2 linked regions of the Lonchura striata genome follow. Each later gene encodes a partner of the first gene's protein in a complex. Links are inferred from orthologs where the notes say so. Each region holds a gene or a part of one and is shown on either strand. Other genes may lie near its edges.

Region 1 (3,910 bases):
GCAAAAACCCGTGGAGAAGGCAGCAGCTAGCATCCCTTACTCAAGGACATCCTGGAACGAATGAGCATTAAGGATGTAGTAAATTCAGATTTTGGTGTACATCTGCGTATACTTTGCTAACTTAGCAGAAGGCTCCAGGACCATGTATCCCATAGCTGATCTATGTTCGTTATAATTCTAAGGACCCTGTGAAAACCCCCTCAGCTTGTGAGGAATGTCTACAAGTTAGCTGAGGTTATGCAACTTGTAAATTACTAATCAATCCCCATATATATGGGGAGTACTTGGAAAGTTAGTAACTCTGAACTGAGTATAAAAAATAGTGTGAAAAGCCCGGTGGGGTGTGCTGGATTTGTGGAGCACAACCGAGCACCGCAGCTCACGCAACACTGAAATACCAATCTCTGAAAAAAAATACCAAACTCTGAAAAATCAATGTGTCCGTTGAGTGTATCATGGCTGGCTTGTAGCACACCGGGAAAGCAATCCAATTTTGTGGGATGAGGGGTTGAGGGAGCGGGGTGGGAAAGGTGGCCATGAGGGGAGTGGGGTGTGAGGGGACACGGGAGGGGCCAAGAAGAACTGAGGGGAGCAGAGCTGAAGGGCTGGGAGGTGCTGAGGGGAAACAGGGCTGAAGGATCCTGGGGAGCTGAGGGGAATGGGGCTGAAGGACCATGAGGTGCTGAGAGGAATGGGGCTGAAGGACCATGAGGAGCTGAGGGGAGCGGGGCTGAAGGACCATGAGGTGCTGAGGGGAGCGGGGCTGAAGGATCATGAGGCGCTGAGGGGGAACAGGGCTGAAGGATCATGAGGCGCTGAGGGGGAACAGGGCTGAAGGATCATGAGGCGCTGAGGGGAGCGGGGCTGAAGGATCCTGAGGCGCTGAGGGGGAACGGGGCTGAAGGATCATGAGGCGCTGAGGGGAGCGGGGCTGAAGGATCCTGAGGCGCTGAGGGGGAACGGGGCTGAAGGATCATGAGGCGCTGAGGGGAGCGGGGCTGAAGGGCCCGGAGGCGCTGAGGGGAGCGGGGCTGAAGGACCGGGAGGCGCTGAGGCGCGACCATGCGGGGAGCGGTACTGAGGTACCGCGGGGACTGAGGCGAGCAGCTCTCCCGGCGGCCGAGCCCGTCCCGCTGCCCCGGAAGAGGCGGAGCGGGCGGGCGGCCCCACGTGCGGCGGCGGCGGCATGGCGGGGATGGAGCCGATGGAGCCGCTGGAGCCGCGGGGCGGCGGCGCGGCCGTGACCGACCCCCGCGGGGTGCTGCGGCAGGGCCGCGCCTTCCTCGACTTCTTCTGGGACATCGCTAAGCCGGAGCAGGAGGTGCGGCTGGCGGCCACTGAGAACCTCCTGCGGCACCTGCGGGAGGGCAAGAAGGTGAGGCGGGCGCCGGAGGGGCGGTGGGTGCGGGCGGGCAGTGGCTCGTCCCTCCGCTCCCGCTTGGGAACGCGGCAGTGCGGACGGGGCACGGGCCGGGCGCGGCGGTCTGGCGGCCGGGCCGCGCTCGGAGCAGCCCGGACACGGCCCAGCTCTGTCTCTCTTGCAGGATGATGAACTCAAGTACACCCTGAAGCGGCTGGTGGAGGGACTGGGAGCCACCCGCGAGGCCGCCCGCCCTGGCTTCAGCTTGGCCTTGGCGCAGGTCAGTGTGTCCAAGCGCGGGTCGGAACCGTCGGCAGCCTCTGTCCATGCTTGGGGTCACTTTTGCTGTCTGTGCAAGGCTGGAGCCCTTCTGGCTGCTCCTGTGTGCACATGGGAGGGAAGGCTCTCACAATAACCGTAGTTTTAAATGGTGCTACTCTGCTTTAGAAACTTATAAAGTTATGAACTATACCAATATCTATAGTTATGAACTGTAGTTATAGTAATGAATTATGCCAATACATTCATACTACATAGTTCTGCTTCAAGGACTGTCCTTGATTTACAAATTTTGACCAAGTTTTCAGTTATTCTGTGTTTAGCACTATTACTACTTCTTGAAACTGTCTTGCTCTTGGTTGGTTGATGTGGATATCTGCCCTTTCTCTAGACCAGGTTGCTCCAAGTCCCATCCAGCCTCGCACTGAACATTTCCAGGGATGGGGCAGCCACAGCTTCTCTGGGCAACCTGTGCCAGAGCCTCACTGCCCTCACAGGGAGTGATTTCTTCCTAACATTGAACCTAAATTGGCATTTTGTCAATGTGAAGTCATTCCTCCTTTTCCTGAGACTCTGGGACTCCAGAGTCCCTTTGCAGCTCTCTTGGAGCCTATTTAGGCCCTGGGAGAAGCTCTAAAATCCTCCCTGGAGCCTTCTCCAAGCTGCACAAGCCCAACTCTCCCAGCCTACTTCCTGTTCTTTACTGATCTGGTTGTCTTCATTCTGGCCTGATAAAGCAGCACATCTGCTGCTGTGCTGTACACCTCTTCAGCTCTATTTTAGCTTAACCCAAGGTAATGTCATGAAGTAGAAGAACTGCAAACGGCTATTCCATCTCTCTCCTCAGGTTTTGCAGGCTTTTGAGGAAATTCCACTGTGCAGCATTTTGGAACAGATAAAAGAAAAACACAATCTGGAAACAGTGAAAAAAGTAAGTCAGCTCATGGCAACATTTGCCAACTGATACTTTAAATGAATTGTTCTCTATTCTTTGACGTCTTGGTGTATAGTGTAGCTTTGGGGTTCGTGTTAAAGCAAGCAATACAATAAAATAACAAATATTTCTAAAAATTGCAAGTTGATGACATTGTAATCTGGCCCTGTTTTAGGTGAGATTTTTCAGTGTGATGAAGAGGTACTGTAGGACAGTTCTTAAACATTATGTAGCAGGTTGCTTTTCAGTATGTTCTCTTCCCATGGTGAGGTGTTCAAGGCTGGGTTTTCCTGCCATCTTGCTCCACTGATTGTGTAGTTGTGTAGCTGCATGTGAGCTTTAGTCTCTCAGGAAAGTAGATTTTTACTATTTTCTTTTTTTTTTTTCCCTTCAGAAACTTGTGAGAAATGCTGCTTTTGGGAACTTTTTTGGAGTGATGGCTCTATTCCAGTCTGGGCGGCTTGTGAAGGTAACACTACTGTCAGGTGTGCCAATTCTGCTTCTGGGGCTTCTGATATGGAAAGAAGATTGACAGAGAAGGGCTGGGTCACTGGGTAATCGATGCAGTGGCACTTGAAGCATCAAGTTCTGTTTATTTCTATTGTGTCATCCATGGACTCTTTGTGCCTTTTTAATGTCTGTTCCTGGGCAGAATGTAGGAACTGTGTCAAATAGTGCAGGAGGCTCCTACCTCTCCTGGAAGGAAAGGATCTGTTGTCATATCCATCTGGAAAACACAGTTTTGGAAAAAGCTGAGTGACCAATCAAGAAACAATTGTGTTTCTTATTACAAGTAGGCATAAACATCTAAAGAGTAGATTATTACCTTAGCCTTCAGATTAATTGCTGATATATGTCCTCTGGTTTTGGCTTATCTTTCCTTTGTAGGACCGGAAAGCTCTGCTGGAGAGCATCCAGCTTCTCCAGCAGCTGACAAATCACCAGACACACCTCAGAGATCTCCCACGCAAAACTCTCATTGACATCACCTCTGAGGTACGGGCACAGCATGTGGCCTTGGGGCTTGGTGGGGCAGGAGGAAGAGAGGGCTTGGCTTTGGGGCCAGATCTTCCTTTAGTTTGTTCATAGCTGGAAATTACAGGGGGTGTGGAACAGTGAGAGTAAACTGTGGGAGCTGTCCCTGTATGGCTGTGGGCAGATGCTTGTGCTCTGGTTTAGCTTAGTTTGACTTCACCATGGACAATCCCACAACCTGTTGTTTCCCATTTTACTTGCTTGGATTATATGTTAGACCATGTGCTCCTTTGAACAGATGTATGCTGAAAACTCTGAACAGCAAAGCAGCTTTTTTTTATGCATCAAGCTTGGGCCTAAGG
Region 2 (3,910 bases), on another chromosome or scaffold:
CTCTCCTCAGCCCTTGCCGCCCGCTGGCCGCAACGCCCGGGAGCGGCCGTTGCAGCGGCGCGGGCCCGGCCGTGCCGCCGCCGCGGGGCCGCGGGCAGGGACCCCCCGCACGGGACCGCGGGCAGGGACCCCCCGCACGGGACCGCGGCAGGGACCCCCCGCACGGGACCGCTGCAGGGATCCCCCGCACGGGACCGCGGCAGGGACCCCCCGCACGGGACCGCGGGCAGGGACCCCCCGCACGGGACCGCTGCAGGGATCCCCCGCACGGGACCGCGGCAGGGACCCCCCGCACGGGACCGCGGCAGGGAACGGGCGCTTCGCTCCAGCCCCGCGGGGAGGAGCCGCGCTGGAGCAATACAGAGGAAGTGGGAAGGATGCCACGCTCCTGTGAATGGTTCATCGCAGGCGCGTGTGAAGCGTAGTTACGTAGAACTAGTAGTAAAAGTAGGATATATGTGTAAGACGAACACTACTAAATACTTAAGAACCCAGAACGGATTGGGTTGAAAGGGACCTTAGAGATCATCTAGTCCCAGCCTACCTGCTGCGGATAGGGACATCTTCCACTAGCCCAGGTTGCTGAGAGCCCCATCCAACCTGGTCTTAAACGCTTCCAGGGATGGGGCATCCACAGCTTCTCCGGGCAACCTGTGCCAGAGGTACTGGGAAACACTACAGTGTACAAAACGAAAGTCTGGGGAGCATATATTAATCGCTGCCCAATTTAGGCAGGATAAGTGGTGCGGATTCCTTATTTTAAAGCTTTTTTTTTTTTTTTCTCTAAGCCACCTCAATTAAAGACAGCGCCAGTGTTAAAAGGGAAAACGCAACGTCGCGCCGCTCACACCCGCGGCCCGCTCCCTCAGCGGCCTGGCGTCATTGCGGGCGGGCGGGCGTGACGCGCACCCTCCCCCGCCCTCCCCGCGCCGGCGGGGCCGCGGGCGCTGATTGGCTGCCGCCTTCCCGCTTCCTCCTCGCCGCCCGAGAACCCGCCATTTTGAAAACCTTGTTGATTCCGGGAGGGAGGGAAGAGGGAGAAGGAGAGGGAAAGGGCAAGAGCGGCCGCTGGCTGTAGGGCTGCGCCGCGGCGGGGCGCGTGTGTGTGGCTGCGCCCGGACCCGCCTCGTCCAGCAGTAATTGCCGCCTTCAGCTGCTGCCGCCGCCACGCCTGAGGAGGGAGCCGGGGCTCGTGCTGAGGTGGGTCCTGCCGCCATGGCCGTAACGGCGCCCGAGAGCGGTCCCGCCTCGCCGCGCCCGGGCCGAGCGGGGACGGACTGTGACGGGCAGAAATGAAACGCGGCCGCCGTGCCGCCGAGCTCCCGTCCCGCCCCCGGGGACGCGCCGTGTGCGGGGCGCTTGTCACCGGGGCTGCGTCCCTCCCGGCCCGTGCCCGAGGCGGTTCCCGGGTGCGGCCGTGTCCTGCGGCGGGAGCCGAGGGAGGGCTGCGAGCGGTCCTGGCCCGGCTGCAGCGGGGAGCCGATGGCGCCTTGGCCGCCGGCGCCACCGGGCGCTGCGCATCGCCCTCCGATTGCCCCAGCATCCAGCTTACAAATCGGGAAGGGGGCATAGGTGGAAAGTCCCCGCGTGAAAAGCCCCAGCCGAGGGCGGGAGACCCTCTCCCGGTAAGGGTGGATCCCAGAACCCTTTTTCCCTAAGCAAAATGTCGTCCCGAGCCCAGGTGGTGGAAAGCTAAGAAGTCTCTAACTTTATTTTCCCCCCCTCTGTTCACACTGAAAGGGTAAAGAAAGACAACTTGTAGTGCTTCTCTTGCTTTTACTCGTGCCTTCAAAAAGTCAGTAATTGCCGTGAAAATGCTAGATTACTTACTACAAATGAAAATGTTGGTAGTAATACCCTGGAGGGTGTATTTTTCACTGGTGATTTAGCCAGGAAACTTTACTTTTCCCCGTATTATTTGTAATAAATATTACCTCATGCTTTCTGTCATTTGGAACACGACTGATCTCTGGCACCTACTAATGCTGCACATAAGCAGCAGATTTAAGTGTTACTTATAGTACCTGATTACTTGCAGATAATATTTGTTTTAATATTGCAAAAAGAAAATTGTTAATTGTGTGAAATTCTGTTCCAGATTTAAAAGGTGAAAATTTTTGAAAGCTAGAATTTAAAAATGAAACATATGGTTATCTTACTCTATTGGATAGGTGTTTTCTGTTAGTAGAAAATGGTACGTGTATAACTAAGATATTTTAGTTTAAAGCTTACATATAGGCCACTTCAGATATTAAGAAAAGACTCTTATACATGCTAAGTATGAAGCATTTATTCTTTTTTGTTGTAGATTTGCAAATTAAAACGGGAAGTATTTTCATGCCTAAAGATGCAGCAGCTGTCTAGGTTATGAAAGCTGTGTTAATTCTTTCCTGAATTGCTTGCAGCTTTTTAAAAAATGTTTCTTTTCCCATTTCCAGTCTAAATAAGTAATTTGTTTAAGTTACTAGGAAACTTGTATGCATAGTTAACCATGATCAAGTATTAAGTTTATAGCAGGGTGCAGTAAAACAGTGATATCTTAAAACACTGCAGTTTTTAATAGATAACGGTTTCGGCTGCTTTGAGTGGGTGTTCCCGAATGCTTCACAAAAGCAGCTTGGAGACTTGTGTGTGAATAGAATTTATAACCTCTTAGAGTGTTCTTAACCAGACTAATTGCAGGATGGATGGCAACTTCTTCTGAAAAGTTGTATGTATTGTGTGTATGCCAAACACCTTAGTGATCAGAGAATGTGAACAATCACAGTACCAGCACGCTGCTTCTGCTGCACAAAGAGATAATTTTTGAAAGCAAGATTCCCGTGGTTTTTATGGATGTTGTTCTACTGATGATAGTTTCCCCTGACTCTTTCTACAGGAGCATACACCATGTCTTCTGTTGATTCATCAAAAGAAGATACAATGTCATCAGAAAAAACAGATGAGAAACAACCTGAAACTGAAAACAAAGCTGAGGAAAGTGATGAAGATGAAGAAGAGGAAGAGGAGGAAGAAGAAAAGGGTACTTTTCTCATTGACTAAGTTGTTCTTTAATGGATGCCAAGCTACTGAATGCAGTCTCTTGTGATTTTGGCTAATTGTACAATTATTGAGGGGATTTCATCATGCATCTGTCTCATGGGTCATAATAGCTTCCCAGTAGCCTATAACAGGCAATGCTAAAAACAGTGGTGTTGATTAATCTCAGAAAATATTTAAGGAATTGCCAGCATCCTGGACTTGTGTACTAGGGATTTTTTTTGTTGATGTATAAATTTTTCAAGGATTATAGGAGGTAGTGTCCCTTATCAAATTAGTTTTTGCTAGTAACACTCTGAAGTGATCTGTGTTTGCAAAAGGAAATCTTAAGTGTGCAGTAGTTTTGGAAGCAATATGAATGTCTTGTCTTAACTACAGTGAATTAATTTTCTGGCTATCCAAATGTAATTGTATTGAGTTAGCGGAAATTCCTTTAGACTAATTTTGGTAATAAAAAATTGTGGCAATGTGATAGGGTGAGCAAGCAAGGCAAGTTTCTTGTCGTGGCATGTAATTGAAGGTAGTAAAGGAGAACAAAACAAGATGAAGGAACTACTAAGCAAAAATGTTAATTTCTATTGAGATGTCTCCTGGCATGTGTTTTCAAAAGCAAAGCATTCATGGAAATAGAGTTGTAATGTGACATAGTGAAAACCAAGTCACTGATGCTCTTGGATCTTTAGGAAAGGTAGTAGAAAGAAGATGGATTATGCCGTTTGGAAAACAGCAGAGTGATTAGCATTGGATTTTCAGGGAAAAAATTATTTTTGCTCTGGTTTTGATAGTGTTCATACAATTCACTAAAGCCAGGACAGCCCATCTGTTTAGCTCTAAGGATAGTGTTACTTGAGGTCAAGTATTTTAGTATGAA

The links.
Region 2: MYBBP1A (region 1) and DEK share a complex: the UniProt entries of both Homo sapiens proteins name them as parts of the B-WICH complex. The link is inferred for Lonchura striata from reciprocal best matches to the Homo sapiens genes MYBBP1A and DEK.

Annotation. Positions count from the first base shown.
Region 1 is NC_134622.1:4,151,814-4,155,723, forward strand, and holds the start of MYBBP1A (myb-binding protein 1A), read left to right. Parts: upstream 1-1,170; 5' UTR 1,171-1,186; coding exon 1,187-1,375; intron 1,376-1,544; coding exon 1,545-1,640; intron 1,641-2,486; coding exon 2,487-2,570; intron 2,571-2,967; coding exon 2,968-3,042; intron 3,043-3,461; coding exon 3,462-3,569; intron 3,570-3,910. UniProt on the Homo sapiens protein: May activate or repress transcription via interactions with sequence specific DNA-binding proteins. Repression may be mediated at least in part by histone deacetylase activity (HDAC activity).
Region 2 is NC_134603.1:88,784,807-88,788,716, forward strand, and holds the start of DEK (protein DEK), read left to right. Parts: upstream 1-971; 5' UTR 972-1,200; intron 1,201-2,878; 5' UTR 2,879-2,889; coding exon 2,890-3,022; intron 3,023-3,910. UniProt on the Homo sapiens protein: Involved in chromatin organization.